Linked DNA regions of Arabidopsis thaliana. The protein of the gene in region 2 interacts with the protein of the main gene of each other region in a pairwise test. Each region holds a gene or a part of one and is shown on either strand. Other genes may lie near its edges.

The links. The genes of interacting proteins can lie anywhere in the genome.
Region 1: the proteins of AT1G09250 (region 2) and KDR interact in a two-hybrid assay, tested with the Arabidopsis thaliana proteins (one large-scale study listed by BioGRID).

Annotation. Positions count from the first base shown.
Region 1 is NC_003070.9:9,349,330-9,353,379, forward strand, and holds KDR (basic helix-loop-helix (bHLH) DNA-binding superfamily protein), read left to right. Parts: upstream 1-1,830; 5' UTR 1,831-2,241; coding exon 2,242-2,370; intron 2,371-2,989; coding exon 2,990-3,145; 3' UTR 3,146-3,504; downstream 3,505-4,050. UniProt on the Arabidopsis thaliana protein: Atypical and probable non DNA-binding bHLH transcription factor that regulates light-mediated responses in day light conditions by binding and inhibiting the activity of the bHLH transcription factor HFR1, a critical regulator of light signaling and shade avoidance.
Region 2 is NC_003070.9:2,987,133-2,990,971, reverse strand, and holds AT1G09250 (basic helix-loop-helix (bHLH) DNA-binding superfamily protein), read right to left. Parts: upstream 1,832-3,839; 5' UTR 1,464-1,831; coding exon 840-1,463; 3' UTR 545-839; downstream 1-544. Other genes in the region: AT1G09245 (Plant self-incompatibility protein S1 family), read left to right, coding at 3,605-3,839. UniProt on the Arabidopsis thaliana protein: Atypical bHLH transcription factor probably unable to bind DNA. Negatively regulates brassinosteroid signaling.

The DNA.
Region 1 (4,050 bases), 6.4 Mb from region 2:
TATACATATATACTAATTTCAAACTTTAAAGATACCAAACCATGCAGAATCAAATTATGTCAATACAAGTCTTATAAAAGACAAATACATATTTTCATTATTTAGCTTAAAAAATTAAGAAAATTTTGTAATTTTATTTTGTTTTTAATGAATAAATAGATCAATCTTGTCCTTTTTATTTATGGTCCTCTGTAAACAATGACAGCAACGATGGCAAATAAATAAAGTATTCAGAAGTTAAAATACACACATATATATAGATCAAGACCTATATCTTGTTGACAACGAAAACAAAGAAAGAAGATTAATAGATCAAATCCGAGTTAAAGCAAACATCTACCACATAATAAATGCAATGCAAAATCAACGAACTGAATCCAATCGACAATCAAATGCCTATCTCTGCATCTACCACATGCTACGTACTCAAAATCAGATTTTTATGGAAGGTATTAAAAAAATCAGAGTTGTCAACTGTAATTACATCCAAAACATGATCCGTAATTTGGCTTCAACATTTTTTGGTGTTTTCTTGTACCATATGTCCTACACTCTTTTCATGATATAGACCACCACACTAAAGAAAAATAATAATTAATCTTATAAATGACAGTGATTTTTTTTCTTTTCACGATCATGTATAGGATAACAATCATATTATTTTCAAAAATATTTGGATGTTACATTACATCAAAGGTCAAACATGGATGTGTGAAGAACAAACTTATACATGTTCCAAAACCATTGAATTTCCAAAAAAAATCAATGTAAAAGTTTGAAAGATACAAAAAAAATGGTAAAAAAGAGAGAAGTGATTAAAAAAAGGGACAATGAAGTAATACATATAACGTGGGGATGCAATGGTGGTACTGACAGAGAGAGAAGGCAAAGAGGGACAGTTTAGTTTGGCGATAAACACACATTTTGCCATTTTAAACCCCACTTGATCCCTCTTCTCCTTTCCATGGCCCTCCCCTCCTTTTCTACGTCCCTTTCCCAATTCTTATTTTAATTCTTTGTTTTTTTCTACTTGGATGCGTTGAGCCAAAAATGTTGCAATGAATTAATTCTACTTGGCCCGATTTTGGAAAGCTCTGTAGCTTTGTGGACTGACTTTGATTTGGTTTTGATTTCAGAGAGTGCGGATCAATCCATTGTTATACGTGTTTGGATTTTTTTTTGGGTTTAGCCAAAATCGAACCGAGTGACTTGACTTAAGCATAGTTGTATTTTTTATTATATATATTTTTTTTGGTCCCATCACTAGTCACTGAAAACCTCTACAATATCCCTTAAGATAGGTTCTAATCGTCGTATCATACGACTCGTATGAGACGATACAAACACTCTTTGGTAAAGTATCACTATTGGTTTAGCACTGGATCTTAGTTATTTGATACCCTTTCTATTTAGTTTCAAAATTTGAATTCTCCATGTCACATTCATTATACAAACGTTTTTTGTTGAACAAATTTTACATTCATTCATAAAAACAAAAGAATACATTATCACAAAACATATATAATAAGATAAATTATTAAATAGAATTTTTTTAAAATAGACATACAATAAGACTAGTCGTCTGATATAGACTCTGCACATTATACGGACTTACATTTGTAAACTCCATCAACTCTTATCCATCTATTGTTTAGTCATGTTCAATATTGAGAAAAATTAAAGGAAATTAACATGTAGCCTTTAAATTTTCAATAAAGGTCGTTAAGTTGAAGACTTGAAGTTGATACTACACCATGTGAATAGCTCGAAAGAAAGAAGGTTAAGTGGAACAGGAATAAGAGAAAGAGAGCAAGGAAAAAAACTTGACGTGGGTGAGTTTTACACATATAACAATCAAGAAGTTGTTCTCGTGGGAAAGTAAGTTTAGAAGCTTACCAAAAATAAACAGTATCTTTTTGTACTAAGCGACTATGAAAAAAACTGAGAACAAATAATAATAAATATTTGAAAGCTAAAGACACCCTTATTAAAGAAACATAACCCACACCCTCCCTCCATGCACTTGTCTCTTCTCCTTCTTATTCTTCTTCTTCTTCTTCTTGATCTTCTCTCTCTTCATAAATTTGCATTATAAAAACACATCCACTTTGCTCCTCCCTCTTCAACACCTTCTTCTCCACTCTCATTCTCTCTTTCTGACACATTAACTACTTATCCTTCTTGCATTCTTCTCTCTCTCTACACCCAAACAAACACACTTATAATATATCAAGAAAGAAGATGTCTAGCAGAAGATCATCACGTTCAAGACAGTCAGGAAGCTCAAGAATCTCTGACGATCAGATTTCCGATCTTGTTTCTAAGCTCCAACACCTCATCCCTGAACTTCGCCGCCGCCGTTCTGACAAGGTATACACTTCAAAATAACAAATTTTAATCTATCTTTCTTGCATATACATACTTATTTTGTATACTTGTATAACTTAGCCTGCACATGGACTTAGAAAGTTCAAATGAATAGGAACCATATAGTATATAATAACTAATTAATATGCATGGTGAAATCCAACGGCGTGTAGACATGTGGCCTACAATTAACTATACGTAGATAAAGTAACATTAATTCACAGCCTCATTTATGCATATATCTTGTTTGTTCTTTGAATGTTTTTTTGCAATTAAATTTTACAAGTTGGTGGTGTGGGACTCAGTTTGTTCCCTTCCTACTTCCACGTACCTTAACTACATGTCTCCCCATTACTCTTCTCTACCTATATACTCACCATAATTCTATATATAGCTGAGGAATATGATAAATAAATTGTGGCCGTTTATACCGTTGTGCACATTGAAGTGGCAATCATGAGAAAAAACTAAAGTTCTGTTAAAAGTTTGAAGATATATATGAAATTGTTACAAAGAAAGAAAAAAGGCAGTAGCACATGTTGTCACGTACTCTTTGTAAGGGATATAATGATCGTTTTTTGTACTTTAAAACTAATTGTAAAATGTTTAAACTATTGGACAGGTGTCAGCATCTAAGGTACTACAAGAGACTTGCAACTACATCAGGAACTTACACAGAGAGGTTGATGACCTCAGTGACCGTTTGTCGGAACTCTTGGCTTCGACGGACGACAACAGCGCCGAAGCAGCCATCATTAGGAGCTTGCTTAATTATTAAATCCGCATTACTTAATCTGAGAGCTATTAATCATCCGTTTCCGGCCACCAAATTTATCTTATTATGGGTATCGTCTGTTTACTTCTACATCATATATTATGAGATATAGCTAGGGTTTCGGGTCATTGTTAGGCCAACTCATATATTTATATTTAATATATGGTTATGTATGTATGTATGCATGTTAATTGTATCTGAGGGTCCAGACCTGGCGTATAGTAGCCTGTGTATCATGAGATCCTCTAATATTTATGATTAATGACACGGTCCGTTTCCTTTTTTACTATACTGATCTACTGTTATAAGTTTCGTTTATCATATCTTTTTCTATAATTAACAAGCTGAGGAGATTATCGGTGTATGCTCGAAATTTCTTAGTTGAAGAAATTAAGAACAATATATGTGTATGCCAAATAAATAAGTTATACTTGGAAGTATGTCAATACAATTTTATCAAAAAAAATAAAATGGTATGTATATACAATTTAAAAACGTGGAGAAGTTGTGTCTGAATTTAAATTGTTTAAAATATGATAGAAACAGACGAAGACCTCGATGTTTTCGAAGTCGTTTAGTTTGGATTATCTGTTTTTTAATGTTATCTGTAGTATATGGTATGGTCGTGCCATTTTATTTAAATCCTCTTGCATGTGATCATTAATGTGTTATCTTCGTCGTGTATATTATAACACGTATTGACTCGATAATTACGGTATTAGTGTGGTGTTATTAATGGAGTAGATAATTTATGATTACGTGTTAAAAGTAAAATGTATTGGGATATAAGGTTACATACCTTTTCTTTGAACAGAGAAATTCTTGCGCCTGAAAGTTAAATATAATCATGTACTGTATCAGTTCCCGTTTTTTTTCGGTCATTGATTTTTTTTTTCGGGCAACACATT
Region 2 (3,839 bases):
TTGATATACAACAAAAAGGTGTGAATGCTTTTGAAAGACATATTGGGTGTTAAAAGAAAGAGCACACGTGGGGAGTCTTAAAGAGGGAAAAAAGATGTTCCAAGAGACTCATTTCTCAATCTTATTGTTTCCTCTTCTTTTGGTTCCATTTTTGTGGTCCTTTTTGCTCACCACTTCTTTCAATGTTATTCCTAGTGGATTTCTTCTGACAACTAACTTTTACTAACTTGTATTTTATACCATAATCATCAATTTTTCATAATGTCAGTTCTCTTGAAGAGTCGTATGCTACTCCTTGTTATCATAATTAATGTTGACATTCAAGTAAATGTTTTTTTCTAATCAGTTTGAAAGATTTTGAGGGCATTTTGAGCAAAAAATACACTTTTCGACATAAACTTCAACGTCGGAAAAAGTCTTTGAGAATCACATGGAGTCCATTGGCCCCAAAATTAAGGTGGGTGTCCTCAACACGTTACACGCACATGCTCATTTTTGAATTGCTTCAACTTGCAAATTATTTGTTCTTCTCCTTACTTTTTAGTTTCTTTAATTTGTAGGTCTAATTTTTTTTTAAAGCGTTAAACAATTTTTGGAATCGACATTAGTTGGCATTTTGTTGTTGTTATTGTTTAGATAACTTTGATTATCTAACGAAAAAACAAAGAAAGATCAAAATGGATACAAAAAAAAAGAAGTGATGATGTATACAAATAAAATACATGAATTTAATAAATTAAAATCGCGTCGACGAGAAAAAAAAAACACTTGAAGCCAAAATAAAGGGGTAAAAAGGTAAAAGAAAAGCTAATTAACAACTGACAAACTAACTGCCGCCGTTAAGTTCCGGTCAACGTCGTCCGTGGTGCGGCTGCGGTTAAAAGTTCGGCGAGAGCCTCCATGGCTCGAACCTGCATCTCTAACGCTGCGATGTAATCGGTCGCTTCATCTAAAAGATTCGGTACAGAGACTTTCCGGCAACCAGGAACCAAACGGCCAAGAATCTTCAGTTTTCTCTCAACCGCCGGTAACTTAATCCGATTCGTCTCCGTGAGACCTTTTCTCGATTTACAATTTCCCGTTGACTTTTTCGCCTTTCTATGTTTCTTCAGCTTCGCTCGGACGCGACTCGCTAAAATCGCTCTGCTCCACCGAGTCGTACCACGAGCGGACGCAGCTAGAACTCGATCCGCCGTATCACGTATCTCCCTCGCCGCGCCGGAGACGAGTTTATCGGTCTCGTTGTTGCTGGTGGTGGAAGATCTCTGACGAACTCGGCGTAAAGCTTCGACGAGCTTACAAGCGTAGATCTGTTGCACACGATTCGTTTTCCATCTCTTCAAGCTTTCTTCGTTGACACGTCGTGCCTCTATCTCCGCCTCCGCCGTCTCTGATATCCTCGGCTTCTTTCTTCGAGACGATTCACCTGTGTTTTCGATGCTCGGGAACAGAGACTCCACCATTAAATCCGATTTAAAACCAGAGATTCAAAGAAACCGATGATAAAAGGCAAAAACAACAATCTCTTCTTCTTCTTCAGATTCTGAGAGTCTCTCTTTCTCTCTCTCTCTCTCTCAATGTGACTAGTTAGAAACAAGAGAAGATGAATGGAGAGAGATCAGTTTTTATATCTCTGCCAATCGCCAGCGGAGCTATAACACTTAATTCCACTTTTGCCCTTATTTACCGGTATTTGTTTTTTGTGTTTTTTTTCATTAGTTAAAAATCTTTTGTTTTTAATCTTTTGTCATTCATGTGATTGTTCTTTATCTTTTTGCCTTGGCATGAAGCTCCAAAATTATGCCCTTTAATAGTCAAAATGCTGAGCGATGCAAATATATTTTCTATGTTTATACATTGTAACTCCAAAGGTCAAAGAATATAGACGATTGATATATATATTTTTGATAAGTTGAGAAATAAAGGGTGATGTTGAATCTTTTGTTTCAAGTGGTTGCGGTAGAATTCATGTGGTTTTATTTTATTTTAAAGGTAAGCAGAGAAAGGGAAAAAAGCACTCAGAGAGTGAAATAAGCAAAAGAGAAAAGAAAATTTACCAAAAAAGCATTCCATGTGACCATTTTCATGGCGCTGCCATATGAGAAAAAAGGATCTCTTTTGTGTGACCTTTACTCATTTGTAATGTTGTGGACAATTTTCCGCCAACAAATTCTCTCCTTTGCCGTTTCCCACTATTTTGTGTGTGATTTGTATGTTTCTAATTGATATCTCAATCTAAAGAGTAATGAGTAGTCTACAAAGGAAAAACAAAAATAAAATTCAAGAGTAATGAGTAGTATATGTATATTGTCTTCATACCATAGTTTAGAAAATATTTTTTCTTGACAAAATTCGATCCTTCGTAACGGTGAATGTCATTGTCAATTTGTCATATATCACGAGGGAATTATTAGTTCCTACACCAAGTTCTAAATCTTAAACAAACCATGATCTAAATTCTATAGTAACTAATGTAAAACATTTACTTTTCTTGATCAATTCGTTTTTGGCACCTTGCTATGGAAAACACGAGAGAAATGTTTTAGCAATTATGAGTTGACACTAAATATTATAAGTGCATTTTTGTAGTAAATGTGTGATTTATACCAAAAAAAACAAGAAAAAAAAAAAGAAGATCTTGAAGAGAATCTAAAAGGGCCCTTTTCTCTGTAATTGGCCAGAGAGGCTTGCCCCCTTAATTGAGACATCGTCTCCATGTCTCTTCCTTTTCTTAATATTTTAACCACGCTCAAATATTTCTTCTCCGACTCTCTTAATAATACTCACCAAATTTTTAAACTGGAACCCATTGATATATGTGGTCGTAAGCTTTTCTTGTGCGTGTATATTTTTTAGATTCTAAAATATCACAAGATTCACAGCGCACATATGACACCAAAAAAAAAAAACACATGTCTATATGCATCAGACCAATTATGGAATCTCCCAAGGAACAAAAACATGCTCATTCGTGAATACAGTATCCAAGGTGGGGAAGTTAAAGACTAGATCTTACTCAGGAATTCATAAACACTGAGGTCAAAATCGAACAACATCACACAAAGGAAACAGCTCTCTTGGATCAAGTAACTTGTCTTTGCTATGTGGTTGCGTTGCTTTTCAGTTATTACCAGGAGCCTTCTGTACCTACTGTTGGGTTTGTGAACGCCTTGGCCCCTTTATAAAGTTTTAAATCTAGTCCATTAAGGCTCATTTATCGTTAGACTTACTGGGCCTGTATAGGCCCGAGGACAGATGTTATTTTGTTATGTTGAAATCGGGAGTTCAAATTTTCGAAATCTTCCGTATTACAAGATACACTTGTCCTGTTAAAATAGTACACTTGCAAGATTTTTTTGTTATATCTTAAATATTTTGGTTTTAGTTAGATGTTTGTGGATCACCTATGATTTGTAAGGTTGAATCCATTGGGATTGGTCAACCATACTTTTTTCGGCAATACCTATATATTAATAATTCATGTTTGTGTTTCAATTTAACTAATTTTAGTTAAGGCCATAAGAAAATACTAACACACTAATAACTATATATAATGCATTATTGATGTCATCAAATTCAAACTGGAGTCTCAAATTACTCTTAAATGAATCGTTTTATAATTTTTATGTTTGTTGTTGTAACATATTTTGGATTGAATGTAGCATTTGACATGTTCCCATGTCCAAAAAATAAAGTTCTAATTAGAAACGAGCTTGGTCCCGGTTTAGTTCTTCAATACCATTGTCATTCAAGAGATCACAATCTAGACGTCGCAAATTTACAATTCAATGAATATAAAGAAATCGCATTCGGAGACAAGTTAGGAAAAAGAACAAGAT